Oreochromis niloticus: one gene and its partner. The protein of the gene in region 1 purifies or fractionates together with the protein of each later gene. This does not show direct contact. Links are inferred from orthologs where the notes say so. Each region holds a gene or a part of one and is shown on either strand. Other genes may lie near its edges.

What was found. Proteins that work in one complex are often made in the same cells at the same time.
Region 2: the proteins of cdk5 (region 1) and ccni purify together in Homo sapiens (affinity purification with mass spectrometry; 3 studies listed by BioGRID and IntAct, with this or other methods). This does not show direct contact. The link is inferred for Oreochromis niloticus from reciprocal best matches to the Homo sapiens genes CDK5 and CCNI.

What each region holds. Positions count from the first base shown.
Region 1 is NC_031982.2:19,022,166-19,032,482, reverse strand, and holds the start of cdk5 (cyclin-dependent kinase 5), read left to right. Parts: upstream 1-5,094; 5' UTR 5,095-5,404; coding exon 5,405-5,441; intron 5,442-5,781; coding exon 5,782-5,870; intron 5,871-5,985; coding exon 5,986-6,053; intron 6,054-6,143; coding exon 6,144-6,204; intron 6,205-6,283; coding exon 6,284-6,340; intron 6,341-6,459; coding exon 6,460-6,555; intron 6,556-7,015; coding exon 7,016-7,090; intron 7,091-8,547; coding exon 8,548-8,644; intron 8,645-9,351; coding exon 9,352-9,421; intron 9,422-9,575; coding exon 9,576-9,636; intron 9,637-9,734; coding exon 9,735-9,815; intron 9,816-10,317. Other genes in the region: abcb8 (mitochondrial potassium channel ATP-binding subunit), read left to right, coding at 889-986, 1,086-1,191, 1,293-1,326, 1,445-1,581, 1,698-1,792, 1,872-2,005, 2,107-2,254, 2,337-2,587 and 1 more. UniProt on the Homo sapiens protein: Proline-directed serine/threonine-protein kinase essential for neuronal cell cycle arrest and differentiation and may be involved in apoptotic cell death in neuronal diseases by triggering abortive cell cycle re-entry. Interacts with D1 and D3-type G1 cyclins.
Region 2 is NC_031972.2:33,324,471-33,335,703, forward strand, and holds the start of ccni (cyclin-I), read left to right. Parts: upstream 1-7,173; 5' UTR 7,174-7,406; intron 7,407-9,049; 5' UTR 9,050-9,095; coding exon 9,096-9,209; intron 9,210-11,233. Other genes in the region: ccng2 (cyclin-G2), read right to left, coding at 380-478, 586-664, 1,388-1,638, 1,729-1,866, 1,949-2,053.

The sequences.
Region 1 (10,317 bases):
CTTCACCATTCACATAAAAGTTTGCCTCATCACTGAACAAAATCTTCTGCGTGAACTGAGGGTCCTGTTCCAGTTTTTGTTTTGCCCATTCTGCAAATTCTGTGCGCCGATCTGGGTCATCCTCGTTGAGATGCTGCAGTAGCTGGAGTTTGTAAGGGTGCCATTTGTGAGTAGCTAATATCCGCCGAAGGGATGTTAGACTAATGCTACTCTCCAGTGACATGCAGTGAGTGCTACGCTGTGGGCTCTTGCTGAATGAAGCTAGGACAGCCACTGATGTTTCTTCATTAGTGACAGTTTTCTTGCGTCCACATTTTGGCAAATCCAACACTGAACCAGTTTCACGAAACTTAGCAAGCAGTTTGCTAACTGTAGCATGGGAGATGGGTGGTCTCGTAGGGTGTCTTGCATTGAAATCTGCTGCAATGACCTGGTTACTGCGTTCACCAGATGTCAACACAATTTCGATCCGCTCCTCACATGTTAACCTTTTCAACATGTCAATGGCTGTGAACAAAGAGAAACTTGTAAATAACTCATGAAAGAATAAAGTTACGTTGAAACCAAGCACACCATTGTTTTTCTTGTGACATTACCAATAAGTTTGATGTGTCACATGACCCTCTTCCTATTGAAAAAACAAAAGTTGTATCCAAGATGGCCGACTTCTAAATGGCCACCATGGTCACCACCCATCTTGAGGAGTTTGCCCCCTCACATATACTAATGTGCCACAAACAGGACTTTAATATCACCAACCATTCCCATTTTATTACGGTGTATCCATATAAATGGCCCACCCTGTACTTCTACCCTTTGTACTTTCAGAAAAGCACTAAATCTATGACAGAGATACAATGTTTTGATTTCCATAATGTTTTTACACAGGTTATATGCATATGAAGTTGACAAATCATGTGAAATGAATGAAAATCTTGGTACTGGGATTGCCATTTTCCAAGGGCTGTCAAACATTGCCCTGAACTGTGAGTGTGTTTTACATTGTTAATTAGTGGACACACTGTTAGCAGCCTGGTACTGCATCTCTTCTGTTATGCTAATGTTTTTGTGTCGTGTTAATACAGGCATTGTCCTTGGAACTATTTTTGCTGGAGGAACTTTAATTTCAAGCAATGAAATGTCTCCTGGAGACCTAATGTCTTTCTTGGTTGCTTCTCAGACCGTTCAGAGGTAAAAACACACAACCTGCTCCACGATGATTTCTCTTTTACAATTAAATGTATTCTTTCAAAAGTAGTTAATTACAAGTCATGCATTCATTTTATGCTCAGGTCTTTGGCCAGTATCTCCATACTTTTCGGTCAAGTAAGTAAAAACTACGATTATCTGACTGCCAACCAGATTTGAAACTAGAGTATTATAATATGTGAACAATTCCAAATGCCTCAAATATTTTGCTGGCAATCTCTAACATTTGCTGCAGGTGGTGAGAGGAATAAGCTCTGGGGCTCGGGTTTTTGAATACCTTGCTTTGCAGCCCACTATCCCCCTCTCTGGAGGAGGACGTATTCCTTACCATTCACTCACAGGAAGAGTGGACTTCATGAACGTCTCGTTCAGGTTAAAATCCTCCTAATTCAGCTCCAAATCAAATATAAGTTTAAAACTACAACTGAGCACAGACATAAAAGTGTGATTTGTGAATGATGTATTGTTTTCTATTGATATGTTTCCAGTTATCCAACAAGACCAGGCCATCAAGTCTTGAAGAGATTCAGTTTGACACTACCACCCTGTAAAACTGTCGCCATTGTTGGAGAATCTGGAGGAGGTAATTTCTGACGTTTCATTCAGTAACTGTGCGACATTCAAACAATATTGGGTCATCTCATAAATGTTTAACCCTGTAGGAAAGTCCACAGTTGCGTCCCTGCTGGAGCGTTTCTATGACCCTACCAGCGGTGTAGTCATGTTGGACGGCCTCGACATTCGAACACTTGACCTTTCCTGGCTCAGGAGCCAAGTTATCGGATTCATCAATCAGGTCAAGGCTGCTGATCATTTCATGATCAATTTTTAAAAAGTATTACTTCCTAACAATTTTCACTGCAACTTCCTTTTTTTCCTCTTTCTTCTTTCTTTTAGGAGCCAGTTTTGTTTGGATCATCCGTCATGGAGAACATCCGTTTTGGGAAGCCTGAGGCTACAGATGCTGAGGTCATTGATGCAGCAAAGCAAGCCAATGCTCACGGCTTCATCACGGGTTTCCCAGACGGCTATAACACCGTGGTTGGTATGTGCTCCCATTTGAGCTTTCACGACTGTTAAGAAACGGTGCCGCTTGTTAATTCTAAACTCCAGATCTTTAAACCCAGGTGAGCGTGGTGTGACATTATCAGGTGGACAGAAACAACGCATTGCCATTGCCCGCGCTTTGATCAAGAACCCCAGTATTCTGGTGCTGGACGAAGCCACAAGTGCTCTGGATGCAGAGTCAGAGCGAGTGGTGCAAGAGGCTCTGGACAGAGCCACAAGGGGTCGCACTGTGCTCATCATCGCCCACCGATTAAGCACCATTCAAGGGGCTGACCTGATCTGCGTGATGAGCAATGGTCGTATTGTGGAGGTGAGAAGGCTGAGTATTCAGGACATACTCTGACCTCCATTTAAATCCTCCAGCTAATTTACTCTAGCTTTTAATGTCAGAGATGTACTTAATAAAATTGAATTCTTTCAGTATTTAGTAATACGTATGGACATACTGGTAGCTTCCTTGTTGAGTTGATTGTGTTATATCAATTTTTATTATATCTAACACCTTTTTCCTTTTTGTTACAGGCTGGGACACATGTGGAACTGCTGAGCAAAGGAGGATATTATTCTGATCTCATCCGCAGGCAAAGAGCTGAGGGGCAAAAATGACCACACCCATATTTGTTTACAGTAGCTGTATAATACTGTATAATGGCGTTTATTTTGAAATGCATAGCAAGACATGTGTGGAAGATTAATTATTTAAAATGTACTGTAAATTTGCCATCTCTGTGACTAGTTTTATGAGAACTTACAAATGTGTATGAACAAATGGACCAATGTGGATCGGCCTGTGATGAACAAATTACACTACTGAATGCGCTGTTATTTCCAGTGTTGTTGATAGAATGATAGATAAATTGTAATGTGTTGGAAAAAATATTAAAATTACTTTTGATGAATTTAAAGTGTTTATTATCTGTTTGTGGATGACAATAAACCTTTCTTGTCATAAAATGTCTAAGAAACTCAACACAGACCCTTACTAGTGATCAGTACTGACATTATTCTAAAATTAAACTCTGGGGAAGGACTTGCTGTTTTGGCACCATTCTTCTTTGCCACCACATACATTTGTATATATAGTTTTACTATATCCAGGCCACATGTAAAAAAGAAACTTCACAGCCAGCACATATACCTTGTGCTCTTAACAAGCTAAAGTTAGGTCCATAGTTTGTTAGACAAAGACACTTTTTGTAGTTTTTTGTCTGTACACTATCACAGTGGATTTTACATCTGACTTAAAGGTTCAAGACATTTAACAAAAACTTCATTAACTATTTACTGTAGGAGTTACAGCCATTTTTATACATAGTGCCTCATTTTCAGAGGCTCAAGACTAGTTGGACAAACTAACAATTTTAAATATGAAGACATTGATACTTGTAGAAACTCTGGATCATTGTTTGCATCGTGACGCTCACTCTATTCAGTTTACTCTTCTGAACCTGAGCAGAGCATAGCCCTGCACACAATTCATCCTGCTAATTCTGTCAGCAATCACACTGTGTGGCCCATACCATGCCCATATTATAACATGTTATTATATGGGCATGATTATGAGCTTTTTCTTTTACTTAGCATTGTTCTGGTAAAGGTAATCTTGGTTTCTGTGACTAAAGAATCTATTGGCTCTTTAAGATGTTTTGTTGTTACACTCTGTTCTTGAATGTAAACTTATAGCATGTTGTAAACCCATGAATGTGTTTCTTGATTATAAACTTCGACAATAATACAGCAATTTCCTAAAGAGTGTTCTTAACTTGGTAAGATGTTGTGAAGTTGTTTTTCTTAATCATGAAAATAGTTTTGTCATCATCCACATTGGTTTTGCACTCACCCAGGCCTTTTGGTGTTGCTGAGCTGGCCATCCCATTCCTTATGTTTAATAATGAACCAGGTTATTGATTTGAAACACATTTTGGCATCTCTACAAGCTGCAAGCAGAGAGATGCCAAACTGTGTTTCATTGTTCTTGCATCAGTGACAATAAAGATCTATTCTATTCTATTCAATTGGCCTCCCCTAAAATTGATTTATTGTCCTTTTTAGCCTTACGATAGCCTTCTTCACTTGCACTAACATCTCTGAGTCTCATATTTTAAATTACAGCAAAAAGCTTTGAAATATAAACTCAAAACGTTTAATCAAGTGTGGATATTATGTCCTGTTCACTTATCATGACAGAACAGGCCTCACCTGGCTATGAAACTGCTTGTCAATCCATTGTCCAATTAATTTTAAGCCTCTGAAAATGGGTGACTATACAAAATGCTTGTAATTAAACAGTTAATGCAAAATGTGTATAAAACTAATTAATGTAATTCCTAAACAGTGAATGCAAAACGTTTGTAAAAACTCCTTTAATTAAAGCGGGAAATATGCAGCTTGATTTTGATTGCTTGATTTAAAATCCACTGCTGTGGTGGATAGAGGCAACACCAAAAAAATGTTCTTTTGTCCAAAAAATTAGGGATTGCAGCTGTATGTGCTGGCATATTCTTGTGTAATAATGAACAATAGCCATCAGTATTCAGCATAATGGGCTTGTTTGCTGACCACACCACAAAGGAGGTAAAATTTATATCACTTTAAAGTTGTGTTTACATCACTACACACATATATTAGGCCATATTGGAAGTCTGCTTAAGAAATTAACAGTCTCACAACTTCCTAGAACACATTTGCACTTTAAGATTACGTTAGTAATTATCGCCCCAGATAAGAGACATCACATCTCTACCATGTTCATATTATCACTTTGTCTGCAGCAACACCTCCCTGAATGAGCCATCTTTAATGAGCTTTTATGGCCATTATGGATTACTTTACTTTTGTACATAAACTTGCCTTTTACACGATTTTCTCAAATGATGTCTTTTAAGGACATGAGATTCTGCATTTTAAAATGTTCATTATAGCAGGTTAGTTTCAAGGTTGCTGTAATTCGTCTTTCAGCCTGTAGATGACAAACAAGACATGCTCGGCTGCAATCCGAAGAGCAGCAGCAATTGCAGACAGATTTAAGCTAACGCTAGCTACAATAACATTTTCTTTTCACCCCAATTTGGGGTGTTGTCATTCGTTGGTTTTTTAGCGTATTCAAGGCTGGCTTCACTGGCCAAACATGCAGAAATATGAAAAGCTTGAAAAAATCGGGGAGGGTAAGTCTCAGACTTTTGTTTTGGTTAATTTCGCAAGGTTAATATTAGTTAGCCTAGCACGCTAATGTAGCATTCATGCAGGTCGAAGGCTAAAGTTAGCTAATCTGTAAGCAATATGTATTCGTTAATGTATGCCCCAGTTAACCACATGGAAAAAATTGCGAGTTTTTACTCGCACTAGTATGTACTAGTAACAGTACCAGTCAGAAGAGTTCTGCCTTCCACTTTTACTATATTAGCGCTAGCTAACGGTGGGCATGTAGCGAGCTAATATTAGGACCCCTTAGCTGTGCCCATTCATCGGGATATGTGGTTTAAATAAATTTTGTCTGCTCCATAGGTACGTATGGGACCGTTTTTAAGGCAAAAAACAGAGAAACCCATGAAATTGTGGCTTTGAAAAGGGTCAGGTTGGACGACGACGACGAGGTTTGTTCTTTATAAAATGATATGAGAGTCACAGTGTTTGTTAGCTAGTAGTTAGCACGCTAGTACTAAATGGAAGCTGTTTGTTTTGTTTTTTTAAATTAAAAAAATCTTTTAGGGGGTGCCTAGTTCTGCTCTGAGAGAAATTTGTCTTCTGAAGGAACTGAAACATAAAAACATTGTCAGGTAAGTCTGACAGAAGAGCTGAATGCCTCCAGGTTACATGTAACCCTGATGTCAACAAACACCAACAGAATATTATTTTGCCTTTTTTAGACTACATGACGTTTTGCACAGTGATAAGAAGTTAACCTTGGTTTTTGAATACTGTGATCAGGTGAGTTGGTCACCTCTAAAACGCACTATATCTTAATATGTACCCCCTGAGCCTAATATGTGTCTCTTCTCTGCTGCAGGATTTGAAGAAGTATTTCGACAGCTGCAACGGGGATCTAGATCCTGAAACTGTGAAGGTGAGACATAAACATGAAGAGCATTTAAACTATGTAAACCTGCCTGCTTAAAAGCCTGTTTTATGCTTAAAATTTGAAATTAACTCCATATTGTTGATGCTGTTTGTTTTCCTGTACAGTCATTCATGTACCAGCTGTTGAAAGGCCTTGCTTTCTGTCACAGTCGAAATGTTCTTCATAGAGATCTGAAACCGCAGAATCTCCTCATCAACAGAGTGAGTGTTTAGGTGCATTTGGACTTGGTGGCTGATAAACATTCATTACTGTGTGGCCTCCATCAGTATACTATTTCTTTAAAGTTAAATCTAAGTGAGATGGACACTGGTTTTCTTTGTGAAAACAAACACCACTGAGTTTATCATTGAGATTCTGTGTAATGTCTTTTGTTTTGAAGTTCATTCATTTGAGCACTGCAGCTTATTAGTGTGTTAGTTTACCACGTGTGATACAGAGATTGCATTCACGGGGCGACGATGAAATAATAATATACATAATATAATTCAAAAGCAGTGGGATTTAGAATAAAGTTTAAAAAACATAGAGGTGTTAATATTGCCGTATTAACGTCAAAATTTTGTTGAGATTGACTCATTAGGGATGTGAGAATGTGGATACAGACATGTATCCATTTATATGCTTTGATAATTATAGTAAGAATTGTTTATCTGTCTGTAGAACGGCGAGCTGAAGCTGGCTGACTTTGGTTTGGCTCGAGCTTTTGGAATTCCTGTGAGGTGTTACTCAGCAGAGGTAGGTTATACATCATTAATGCAAAAGGTACTAACAGCTCACTGCTTTCAGCTAAAGACATGTGACCAGTGTGAAAAAGCATAATTTTTTGGCAACTGCTGTGTCTAAAGAGAGGACAACTTATTTTTAATGTTGTGCAAACTAATGGTGTAAGAATACTTTAAACTTGGCTTTCCAAGAAGTACTGGTATCCAAGATGTTAACAATCTTATGATGAATCATACTTTCTCAGTTTTTAAAACAAAACCACACTTCCTGAGTAAAATGCTTTGTTTGAGAAGTGCACTGACCTAATTACCTCAAGATCTAAATATAAAAGGAAGCCAGAATATAGCACAGTATTAACATCTAACCAGTAGATTCCCTTCAACTTTCTCAGTGTTTTATAGGTTTTTGAAATGTGCTTTTTTGTAGTCTCTCATGTGCACACAGTTAAAGGCCTCAATTTGTTTCTTTTATCTTCAAATTAATTTGTTTAATTAATGATGAAATGGAGTGAAGCATGTCTCAGTATGTGGGTGTTTGATTTTTGTTATTGCTGAAACTTTGAGAGAAATGACGCGCAAGGCTTACTTGAGGCCTGACAAGCGATTCTCATGGGGATTTTGACCCAGGTTGACGCTACTGATCTGAAAATGTAATAAACAGAAAATCTGGAGGAGACCTGAGTTTGAAGCATTGAGATTTTAAAATATCATTTACATTTGAGAGGATGTATTGCCCTGTGGCTTCCACAGTTGCTTCGTGTTATGTTGACATATTATATAATGTATATAGTATGAGCAGCTTAAAGGTAGTATAGGGGTTTTGTTTTTTTAATAAGTTTTTACTTTATCCACAATATTGTTCAGCTAATCCTAATAAAAGCCAGTTTGATCATATTTAGAGGCAAGGACTTAACAACACTGTACTTTTTTCAAATGAAATGCCGTCTTAGTTGAAAAACTTGAAGTCCTTTTCTAGCTGGAAGCTCTACAAATATGTTTTGTAAAAAGAAAAGTTAGTTTTGTTTTGTAGCAGGTAGTCACGTTTAGTAATTTACACATTTACTAAAGTGAACTTTTGCACTTTTTAAACTGAAGCATAGTCACTTGCAGTCAGCCCACACATTTGCTCTGAAAAGTGGAACTTTTCTATAATTGCATTTGATTTTCTTTTTTTTTTCCTTTTTTTTTTTTTTTACTCCTGCGGTGCCCTCCAGACGACTCATTTTCATAAGTCCTTGGAAAAATGAGGGTCTGACACAGCAGCAGCTTTTTAAAATGCCAGCAAGTTGTGGTGGAAAGCAGAGGGAGATTTAAATGTGCCATTCAGTATTAGTAACAGTGTTGCCAAAGTCATTTCCTTGTGAAACACACCAAATGTAAAACCCACCTCAGAGAGCCGTTATTATGCCCAACATTTATTTTACGATTAGTCTGGTTGTGATTATACATTTTGTTTTGATTTGTTTTTAGGTGGTGACATTGTGGTATCGGCCTCCGGACGTGCTGTTTGGAGCCAAACTTTACTCTACCTCTATCGACATGTGGTCTGCTGGATGCATATTTGCAGGTCTGTGTGTGTGGTTTGTGGAATCAAATGAGGATAAAACTAAATAAGTAATCCAATAATTCGGTGCTGGGTGGTAAGACCACAAATGTATCTTCTTTTAGGATTCTGGTAGTTTCATATTATATTACAGTATTATTAATATTTAAAGTATTACTTTTGAAGGTTCCAGTTCAGGTCACAGTGTGAGCAGGTGACCATAAGCTACAAAGCTAAATGCAGCAGCCTGGATTCAACTCCAACCCAAAGGCCTTTGAAGTCTATGCAGAAATAGTGTCATTGTCATTTGTACATATAAATAAACAGAATGTTTATATTGTACAATAAGAGGCTAATATGGATGGCTTGTTTTTGCCATTCATAAATAAAAATCAATATTTTAATGAGATAAAAATAAATAAAATAATTTATAGGAATGTAATAAAGCTCTTACTTTATCAATAAAGTAACAAAATAATTGAAGTAATACTATATACAAGTAATAAATGTGCAAACAAAGATTTAAGTTAAAGAGCTGCCGCTTGTCTTACCCTGCTCTCTCTCCCTGCTTTCTTTTCTAATCTTCTTTAAAGTCACTCAACATTTAAGTAAACAGTTATATTGTGTAGTGGTTGAGGCTAGGATCTTTAAAGGATAGTTAGTTGTTTTTTTGTGTTCGTGTTTTGAATGGTAACTCTTAATTTGATGCCATTTATTTAATTTTTTTCCAGAGCTGGCTAATGCTGGAAGGCCTTTATTCCCCGGGAATGATGTGGATGACCAGTTGAAAAGAATTTTCAGATATCCTTTCCATGTTAATACAGTACCTACTGACGATATACAGTTTGGCATGTGGGTCTCCGGTTTGTTCAGGCAGAGCTACTCATATTTGAATTATTTATGAACAGCAAGTCTTAAAAGTAGTGTTAAAAGTTTGTCTTTAACCGCTCTGTACATTGTTGGGAACACCAACTGAAGAACAGTGGCCAACAATGACAAAACTCCCAGATTACAAGGTACGTTTTTTTGATGTCATTTCTTTTGTAAAACCTCCAGTGCATTGAGCTTTTACTGAATTCGTTTTATTCTTTACAAACTCTTTTTCTTCCTTTAGCCATATCCCATGTATCCTGCCACCACCTCACTGGTGAATGTGGTCCCTAAATTAAGTAGCACAGGACGGGATCTACTTCAGGTACTCTAAAACAAATTTGTGCATTATTTGAGTAGCTACAGTAAAATGATGGAAATCTGTTATTGTAGCTGGGTTATTCCATCTAAAATCATTGTGGGCTTTCTGCTCAGTCACCTCTGATTTGCTGAAAAACTTTAGACGACTTTTAGTAAAGTTTTACTTGATACTTTTCAAGATAGTGTTTTGTGTGTGTGTGTTTTTTTTGTTGTTGTTGTTTTTTTTTCCACCCCCAATTTTGAAAAATGGTCAGTCCAATTCTAGCATGTTTTTTTTTTCACATGTTGAAATATGTTGCAATATTTGGATGTGGATATGTTAACATAAAAATGCAAAATTATATATATGTAAATATTGCAATTCTTACAATGGTCATCATGAGGATAGCATGATCTCTGCTTGCCTGTTGCAGTCATGGCTGGGTTAGAGGGTAAGGGTCTGTATCAGACTAACCATATTGTTCCATGTGACACAGCAACTTGGCCTTGCAAGGCTCCTCACGTGA
Region 2 (11,233 bases), on another chromosome or scaffold:
TTCTGCTATTCATAACTCGAGTGCTCACTTCTTCTGTTTATTTAAAAACTGGAGTCTCATCTTGAAGCGGCGAGCCCGCAGGCTGTAAGACTGGTTAATAAAGTTGCTCACATTTGCAGAGTAAAAGTCTGCACATGTATTAAAAATGCCTCCTGTGTGTGGCTGATCCAGGAAAATGCCCACACTAATTCTCTTTTAATGGAGCCATGAGACATGCGCTAAATTAAACCTCTCATTTCCTCTGAAATTCACCTGCTCTGTTGTTGCCTCCCTTGTGGAAAATCTATTTCTCATTTTTTTTTTCCATGATTTGTACACCTTCCCCTCCCCAGATGAGTTCTTGTGTAATGAAGTCATGCACTGTTTGGCAACAGCCTACCTTGAGGTGTCTCTGGATGTGAGAGGCTATTTCCAACATGTCCTCAGACTGAACGGCTTCAATCTCCTGCCTCAGGAGTGCCAACGCGAGGACGGACGGCTGGAAGGAAAAGCAAAGAAAACACAGTTAAACAGGATCAGTGTTGTGTCAAGAATAAAATGAATTTATTTGTCAGTTTTTAGCCAGGACAGACCTGGAATTCTTACCTTTGCTTTGGAGAAGGAGATCCGGCACAGACAGGCTTTGAGCTGAGCCTCCAGCTTCTCCAGGCTGAGCGTCGTCTTCCTGTTAGCACAGACATAAACATACAGTCAGGTTCAGGTCTTTAACAATTATCAAACACACACAATCATCAGTTATGTCCATTTTACTTGTTTATTGCTATTAGTATTAAATTAAAGTAAAATTAAATTAAAAATGGGTCTTCCTTCCTTAACTTTGCTGATAGCTCGATCCTGGATTTGAGTAATTTTTAGTACAACATGTTTATCTTGTAAATTATGGTTATTCTGAGAATCGAAAAGGTGGCTCAACATTATCTTGGTCAATCATAAGTGGTCAGCCAATGAGTGTTAAGTTTCACAAACAGATGACAGTGGTAAACACACATAGCAGGACTCGTCAACTCCAAACACTGATGTCAAATATGAGGCCAGTTAAATTCAGTGCAACGCTTCAATTAACTTAATTTGCTCTAAACAAAACAAACTGGTGTAAACTCTCTGATGTGGCATTTTGACCCAAGCTGAGCTGGTTTAAAAACAACACGGCAGGGTTACATAAGAGCAAAGTTTTGTTGCCAACAGCAGAAAACAAGTGTTATCAGTGCACTTCAATCAGACACTGCCTGTTGCCCCACATAACAAGACTTTGTGCCAATCGAAACACTGTCGTCCAGACTTTTGAACCCAATCCAGAATCGTCAAGCTTCCAAACATCAACTGTAATGGATCATCTATTTGCAGACACAAATTTGAACACATAACCTCGTGTTCGTAGGGGCCTCACCTATCGGTGCAGTGTGATAGCGCGATCTGGTGGTACAGGTGCAGAAAGGTTAAGGCGGTGACGGCTTTGGACTTGAAGTTGAGCTTCTCAGTGACAATCTTCTCCATGCGGGCGAGGTCGGACACGGTGAACCGGCACTGTCCGATGCGGATGAGCTCGTCGGTGGGTGTCAGGTTGCACTCCTTCTCCGTCACTTTGGCTGCCATATGGAGGCAGCTGAGGCTGATGCAGGACAGGTGCTTGGGCTGGATCTGATGGTAGGAGAGACGACAATTAAGTAAAGAAACCTCTGAAGCTAAAGTGTGCTGCGTCTGCTCTTAGCAGGTGTAAAAGTCTCATACCTTCATCATGGCGAGAAATCTGTCCAGCAGGTTAACAGCCAGGACGAACGTCTGCGTGCTGTAACCAAAGAAGCTGGTCAGACTCCACAGATCCTCCACTTTGGCATCCCTGCACTTGGCCGAGATCCGACTGTCACCCTGGAGAATAAAGACACGCTGTTGGTTAATTTCACCGTTATTAAGAAGCCTGTTAGCGATGCTTAGATCAACAGGTGCCTACTGGCGCTGTGGATTCAATGGCGCGGAGTCCCGTCACTTTGGGGAGATAATGCACTTCCTGCTCACAATTCACCCTCAGCTCCTTCATCAGCTTGAAGGCATCCATGTCTCAGCTGGGACTGCAGGAAGTGATCCGTCTTTTTTAAAACACAGTACCGACACTGCAAGGAAAGAAAAGTCACAAAGTTTAGTTTTTATGCTGCAACCTTAAACATCGTCGGGATTTATGTGATCAGTAAGAAAAGGCAGACCCGCAGCCTTTGTTGTCAGCTTGTGCTCCTCGGCGGCAACAAGAATGTCATAGTTCAAATAATTGCAAATCGCAACTGAAACTAAAAGCATTTTTGTAATACAGATACTTAACAGGATTTCTGCAAACTCTCCATCACAATGTAGAGCAGAGCAGAAGTTTGGAGTTTCCCCTGAGGTGAGTTTGTTATGACATTTTACAGTGTTATGAAATTCACTTCTAACCAGAATTCCTCTGATTTCTTCTTAAACCTGCTTTTCTCTGTTTTGTTTGTTTAAAAAAAAGAAGGTGATTTTTAATCACACTCATGCCTCTAACTATTGAATGATACAAATCTAGATTATATTTTTAAATCCGGTTTGCACCCTGGCAGCCACCTGATTTACCTGCTGCCTTATCTGGCAGGTTATTCAAAGTCACCAGACTCACAAACTTCTTTCCACACGGACATTTGGACTCAGCCCAAACAAGCAAAATCAACAGAGCCTCCGAGCAGTTTTACATTTTACAGCATCACCACTCTCATGCAACAATTAGCTCTTTTCTGTACCTCCACCTCACAACTTCCTCATGATTCATTTGTTTGCACTGTTAAAAGTGAGCTTTATTTTAGTTTTGTTCCATATTTAGCATTTTACTTAACTTTTTGCTACATTTTAGAGATTTTTGCCATTTAGCAGGGGGTTTATTCACTGCATTCAAACATCTGTAGGTTACCCACCCAAAAAGGGTTTAACCTTTCCTGACATAAAAGTCTCTGTGATCATAAGAAAATATTTTTGAACCTTTTTGCTGCATGAATAGACTTGTCGTGAGTATGGCAACAAACTCACTGCCTCAACCATATACGGAGGAGAGCTGCTAATGAACACATCCCCTCCCCCAAAAACCACATTCCCACCAAGAAAACCATGTTAAGCTAAATTCTATTTAATTTCTATTTGAGTAATTATGGGGAACATTCTGTTTTTACTTATTATCCTCTGTTAATCTGTTGTTTTGTCGTGTTGCTTGTTCCGTTTTATCAACTTTTTGGGAAAAAATAAAATCTTGTTTTGTTGTATTTCTCACAGAACAAAAACAATAAACGCTTTCTAGTCTCTTTTATTGTAGACGCCTGTGTGTATCATGAGAATAATGTGAATGAAGAGGACACATTTGAGGTGAAGTCTTTGGAATCGTGTAAGATAATCTGTATCCAGGTTGAGGATCTAAGTTAATCACTCGGTCCTCTCGTGTCTAAACTGCTACACTGTTACTGTGTTGTGACATGACTTTACATTTTCGGGTACATTGTTGCTAAACTGTTACGTGACTGGCGTGCACTCTCAGTCTGGGGGTCAGAGCCCAGGGCCCGGCCCACTTCCCTCAGCTGGGCTTCGGTGTCAGATTTCCGCTGGTCTACGCCTTCTCGATCCCCTGACCGAAAAACAAGTACCCCTTTTTCCTGTTATGACTGTAAATTAACGACCTAAAATACAGATTAAGTTGCCCCACACGTCTAAAAACACTATTTTTATCTTTTGGTTTTGTTTTTTGAATTTTTGTAGTTGATGTGGACGGTTAGCCTCCGCTAGCTAATGGTTTAAATCCTCTGTAGTCGGAGCGGGGGGAGGGGCTGCCGTTTAAAAATGATGAAATATCTTAACTATTTTACTACGGAAACACGATTACCCACACAGATGCTTAATAACTGAGAATTAGAGCAGAGTTGATTAACAAACCGATTATATGTCATTGCAGTGGTTTATAAAAGTGAGTTTAATCGAGCTTAAAAAGAGGAAAACGGGTCCAGAGGATACCAGCTACAACAGCAAAGAGAAGCCTCTATGCTGTACGTGCAAACTAATGCAAAAATATCAAATATAAGGAAAAACACACCTTAAATGCTTTTAATCTAATGTCAGAACTATAAAATTCACCTATGTCCTATTTTTAAGCGCTTCTGGGCGAGTTCCTGTCGGCAGTTACTAATGAAAAACCTTCAAAAACAAAAAAATGACACTTTACTCGCTCAAGTGAACTCTCTGAGTAAAATAAATACAGCTGTGATGTATTTTAAAGGTTTACTCTACCTGTTTCTGTGAGTTAGATCCACATATCTGTCCTGCTGTGGCTTATTTTTCTTCTGCTCTTCTTTCGTCTTTCTCTTTTTCTGTCCTTTGTTGATGTTGAGTAAGCTCACGCCTACTTCTCGACGTCACCCGGCCACAACCAATCAGACGCATCGCTTTACGAACAGCTGTCCCCTTTTCATGCTGTTAAAGGCACAAATTGCAGCTCGATTCTGGTGTTTTTGTAACACCGTAACAGCATTTTTACCATATTCACACCGGAGATCGATAACCCAGCTTCAATCTACAGATACAGCTCGGAGAAACTGAAACACAGCGTTTGGATCGCGAGAAACAAGCCCACCTTGAGTAACATTACCGTGAGCCAATCAGCAAACCGGAGTTCGATACGTTCAAATAGTCCGCCCAAAATCTAATGTTTTGATTGGATCGTGCCCGCACAGAGACCTGACGCAATCATGGCATTACGTAGTGCCTTTTTTGGACAGTTTTTTTATTCATTGTCTGTGTCAGACGTGAAACAACATGTCTGTAAATGGTTAAACCTCAATTCCACTTTAAACAAACATACCAGTGTTTTCTATATACTCTAAGATCTTTCACATGTGATAAAGATATTTGTATTAAATGAGAATTCAACACAAAAGTGATTAAATTCAAAAATATTGTGGCAAGCCCGTGCAAGTTTATAAAAACAAGTGGAATGAGAGATTCTACACCTGGGTTCATGTAACGTCACAATGAACCAGAATGAGAATATCTTCTGATATGTTGAGCAAAGGTCTGGAGTTATTTGGTTAGTTGTTTTAAGACCCCAGTCTAAATTAATGGGTATAGACTAAAATTCCAATTTAACATGAAACATGAAAACACCATGTATAGAATCAGATCACATAACACTAAAGTAAGGCGTTATAAGCTTTAAGTCTCTCATATGTTTTTAACTATGGTTTTGTTGAATTATAACCTTCGCAATGAAACACAGAAGAACTTCAAGAATAAAAATATTAAATATGAGAGTTCATGATTTTACTTTTATGCAACTTTGGGTGGGGACACCAGCCAGGGTTTGCTGGAAAGGTGTGACTGCTGAATCCATTGATAGGCAAATATCAGTGGGTACTGGAATATCTAAATATGCACTAATTTACATACATTTCCATTAGATAATGTGTAAATGAATATTTATTTTAGACCACATTTTAGGAGCTTTTCTTTCCTCTTGCCTGAGAGAAGACAGTTTAAGCAAAGAAAGAAAAATATATTTGAAAAAAACCCTCAGAAGCCAAAAAAAAGTAGTTTGTTTGCAGTTTCCTGCCAGAAAGGTGCATTAAAATTTCATTTAACTGTCATAAGATTGTTAGTCAGACCACTAATGATGTCAGTACTTCTGTCTAGCTGTCTGTGTCACTGATAATGTGCGTTGTCATATTGTAAGGCAGAAATCAACCCTTACGTCAGCATTTACTTTGGAGCTGCTTTTGAGGAACCACCACTTCCCACACGCTGATAGGAAAACACAACATAAATCCCTGCCATACATCATACTCCATGATGAACTCCACATTCAGCACACTGATCAGTACGTTTTGGTTACACTGGCCCACAGAAGATTACCAGAGAAAGACCCAGCTTTTTCTTTTGTTTTTAACCACATAATGGAGTCTTTCCTGGGACAAATGCTTGTACACTCCCACAGAAACATCCAGAAAGAAGCTTTGTGTTAATTCTGTTCTCTTAAACAGAATCTGTGACGAGCTAAGATTTGACACAACTCTGTTTTTATTCAACTGTCATCCTTTCTAGCCCTTTCAGTCGGGTTTCGGTCCTTTCACAAACGATATTGTAAGTGGTGCCGATTCTGGTGGTTGTTCTGCTTTTGTTCTGCTGGACTTGAAAGCTGCTTTTGATACTGCAGGAGTCAAAGGTTTGCCTCTTAACTAATTTGAGTGTTACATCTAGAATTATACAAGGGTCTGTCTTGGGGCCTGTTCTTTTTTCTTTGTATATGCTCTCTCTACCTCCAGTTATTTGTCAACATAACCTCTCGAGTCATTGCCATGCAGATCATTTACAGTTGCATTTAGCTGTGAATCTTAGAAATCACTGTTCTGTAAGAAAGTGCATTTTCAATATATATTTAAAAAAACAAACATTTTTTGGCAGGTTATATTGTTTGTCCCTTGACTATTTAATGAGGGGTTAACAGATAAACTGTACCTTTTAACTACTTTTGTTACAACACATACTAAAATCGTTTTGTTAAATGTAATTTTGTTATTATTTTTTTAATAGAAAAGAGTTATGTTTACTTTATTTACTTTATTGCACTGTACACTAAAGTTAATCAATCATCTGTTGCTAGTCTATTAATAGTGCAAAATGCTGCAGCCAGATTACTGACTGGGACAAAAAAGAGAGATGACATTACTCCAGTGTCAGCAGCCTTGCACTGGCTCCCTGTGCAGTATAAAGTGGTACTGTTTGTGGTTTTAAACAGGGTTGCACCTACATATGTAGAAGCTATGCTGAATCCATCTCACAGTTGATCTTAGACAAGCATCAGATGTGACTTTAAATCTACGCTGAAGACACCTTTTATTTGTGTGACTTTCTGTAAAGAGTGTAAACGTGATTTTTTTACGTTTTACTTTTAATACATTTTAATTTGTATTGTAAAACTATTAAAAAAAAAATTGCTATATAAATAAAACGCACTTACTATTTGTATAAGGAATAAAATAAAGTGAAGGATGTGAAATTCTTCAGAGAAGATGGTCTTGAGTACAGTAGGTTCACTGTAAACTGTTAAACAAACTCCCCCTGAAGGTACATACATGACCGTGACCCTCTGCTGAAGGTTTGATTGTTTTGCATTCCCGTTCAGCGTGGAGGTGGGCGGAGACTTTGTGTTTCGCTCTTCCCCCCGAGTCCCCTCCTCGGAAGTAGACGTATCAGTCTATATTCCGTTCTTTTATTTTTATATATTTTATATACAACAACCCCCTTTTATCCCGAATAACGATGGACGACTAAAGTGAAGTGCGGGTACCCGTTTTCACCCTTTTCTCTCGTCCTTGAACCGAGTGGACCGGATGAAACCCAACTGTGGTCTTCTCCGCTTCGCAGGGGAGGTAAGGCTCCAGGCTCCGGGCTCCGGCTACTTACTGGGTCTGACTCAGCCATTTAAATGTCCCTGCTGTGTTATTAACGCAGTCTGGAGACTCTTGTACGCACCACAGCCTTTTTTTTGTTTCACAACAGTGGAGAGCAGTGAGCAACATTTTCAGCGATGTTTGTGTTTTTAAACAAGAGCGGATATACATGTAATCGCATGTTACGTCAGCTAGCGAACAGCTAGCCACGTCAGATTAGCTCAGCTCCAGAAGATAGCCGGATTCGGGGTTATATCATAAGGAAATGGTCGGTAATACACCTGCTCTTGAAGCCTCGGTGCTTCCCAAAGTGAAAGGGACTTCCCGGTTGGATATTCACGGTAGTTTCCCGATAAAAGGAGAAATTGTTTGATTTTAGTTTGTCATAGATTAGACGATGACTGATGTGATTACGGTTAGCTAGGCTAGGTTCAAAGCTAACGTTTCAGATCAATGAGGTCACAAAGTTTAAGCATCTCCAGGAGCTTCAGTACCCCCAAATAAATACCCACGGCCTTACAGGAAATGTAGGGTTAGAACGTTTATATTTTCGGAGGGTTAAACAATACATTTACATAAAAAATGTTCTCCATTTTTGAGAGATTATAATGGTAAATTTACAGGAAAATTGTATTTTTTCTGAGGGTAAAAAATGTACATAGATTAAAGCTGTAAATTTGCAGGGGAAAAAAAGGATATAAAATTAATAAAATGACAAAAAAAATGACGTGTAGTTTGAAATGACATTAGTATTAGTACAGGTGGAAAACGGAACCTTTTTAGAGATTGAATGCTAAAATTATATATTTTTTTTTAACGCAGAGATTAAAATGAGCCATAATAAAGAGATTGTGTATATTTTCAGAGATAAAAATGGTACATTTACAGAAAACGATTATCTTGATAAATTGCAGGAAAAATTAAAGTCTTTAGAAGTTACAGTGACAAAAGTACAGTGAAAATAATAAATTTTAGAGATTCCAGTGGTAAATTTACAGTATATTTTCTGGGATTAGTCAAATGACAGGGGGGGAAATGTCTAATGTATTTAGAGATTAAAGTGATAAAATTACACATACAAAATTCAAACATTTGAAAATTTTTTTTTTAATTCTATGGATGTAACCAACAATATTATTAAGTCGCCTATGGGCATTTGACATCAGCTGTTTTCTTTTTTTTGTTTTTAATTTATTGTTATGACCATTAATAATGCTAATGTTATAATAATAATCTGTTTCTGAATCCATTAAAATGGTGTACATATAAAAGAGGGACATTTAGGACAGCTGCAGGGAACAAGACACACATTTAGTAAGAAATAAGTGACGCAAGACAGAAGTGGAATATAATCATCAGCTCCTCAGGGTTCAATTTATTAAATTTTGAAGGAGCCACAAGCCTAGACGGCGGATTCATGACTGTGTTTGCCACTTTCAGTAAAAATTGTCACTTCTTTGTTATTTTTAATCCCTCACTGAAAAATAAAGACGTATGCTTTGGAAAACCAGATTTTTGTTCCTTAAAAATGATCCCTTAAACGTGGTTTTGTGAGTATAAAAGCACTGGTGCAGTCCTTCTTGGTGGCAATGTTCTAATATCCTGCCCCTCCAATTGTACAGGTAGCTGTATCCAGTGGGGAGGTAGGCTCAGCCCAGGGAGGACACGATGAAGTTCACCGAACCCTGGGGACGCCAGAGGTTGTCTTTTCTTTTGGAAAAGGCCGCCTCTAGGGAAGCCAAGATGTGGAAGGTCTACGTGCCAAAGAAGCCTTCCTCACAGGTGAGACGCTTCCTCGAGTCACCCTTGTTTATGTAACTGATGTATTCACATAGGTAATTATTATGATTTGACATGGAAACACCGGTGTGGGAATTGCACTACAGCAAATTTATATGTAAAAGTATGTTTCCCTTTAGAGGTGGTGCTGTTGGTAGTTAAAGCAGAATGATGAGAATTATTGTTGGCTCGTCTATTCGATGCTTTTTAGCTTGGAATTCATGAACTATTTTCACTTTATACATCAGAAAATTCAATAAGCTATATTTTTCTCACATAGTTATGAGAGGTATTTGTAGATAGTGAAGCTGAGATAATAAACATTGGAAATACTGGAAAAATCTGTTGTTTGCTTCATTGTTTGGCTGGGATTCTCGGTTCTTGGCCAGCCTTTCCCAGCTTCTCTCATGCTGTGCAACAAATAAATTGTTAGTACCATGCAGCAAGAGAAGACCATGAGTGAGTGGGGCTCACAGATATACAGAGTGGAAGAGTAACCACAAATCTGTGCATACTAAGGCAAACGTGTATAGCTACATCTCAGCTGATTAAAAGAAAAAAAAAAAGTGTTTCTTCTTTAAAAGACAGATTACTTCTAAATAGTGTGACTGCAAGCTTTTGGTCCACTGGAATTTTTTTTTTGTACATACGCTGAGAACCTTGTTTTAATCTTCAGTCAGTTTTAATGTGAACAACCACCACTGGAACAAGAGATATATAGCAAAAATAATCAAAGTAAATATCCAACTGCCTCCAAGAACTGTGGATGTTTGTGATCTGCTCTTTGCCTTTTTATCTCAGTAACCCACCTGATTAGCACATTTTCTTTTATTCTGGGACCTCCTGATTCACAAATGCAGTGTGAAATGACACAATTTTCCCACATGCAGCAGGCGAACTGTAAGTGAGGCGCGCAGATAGAGAGGGAGAAACTTAAGGATGCAGGTAAATGACAAAGAGAAACTAGTATGTGTATCCGTAAATCCATTCATCCTAAAGGAAACAAAGAGGTGAATGTTTTACAGGCTGCCTAAATGGTTCTTTAGTGAGCTTTACTGCCACAAGGCCTCAGCCCTTACTGGCCATCTTATGTAATCTTTTGCACAGGCTTGGGTTTCCATCTACACACTGAAACATAGAGCCAAGAATTTAAGACGAGGCTACTGAAAGGAGCTGGCACCAGTTCAATAAATAGAGGTGCAGGCCAAGGGGTCAGCACTGAAAGGTCTTTAAATGTCAGCACTGAAATATTGGACAAATAATACCGGACAGGTTTAATGTGTTAGGCGACTGAAAGTTCACATTTTCAGAGACGACACAGGTCCAACAAAACTGACTTGATTTCTGTTGATTATCTAATGATTGTCATTCTTTTTATGGCTCTTGAATGGTGCCATATCAGCATGTTGATAATGGAGTTGCAGGGAGTAGTCTGCTCCCAGACATTACCATAGACAGACACCGTGTAATCACAAAGCAGCAGGGCAGAAGAAACATGGCGTTGAGTCACTGAACAGTCACTCGGCTCAGCTGGTCTCGCCCCGTTTACTGGGAACGTCTCGACATGTCGTTATTTGACGTCACAGAGGTGTCGTTTCATCACACCCTCGGGTGGTCTCGCCCAGTGTACGTGCACGTTCTCACATGATGTCACTTACCTGTGAAATTCTTTATATTATGTCTTAACCAAGAAGGTTATTAGCAAAGGATATTGCACAGTTTATCAGATGGTCAAAAATAAGAAAATGTTTAGAAAATGGAGATTTAGTTTTTAGTCAAGAATAACCCTCCTACATGCCTTTATAACATGAGCTATAACTAGTTTAGTTCAATTTAGATATATTTTTTTGTATTTCCTCTCCTCTCTAAGCCCAATTTAAGCTTAGCATTAGTGTCAGCTTAGTCTTGTTTAGCTAAATATTAGACATATGTCTCTAGCAACTAATTCAGGTATGTTCTTCAAAAACACGTTATCTAGTTAGTGAAATAGGATTGGTTATTCAAACAAGCAGCATGAACCTTGTGCT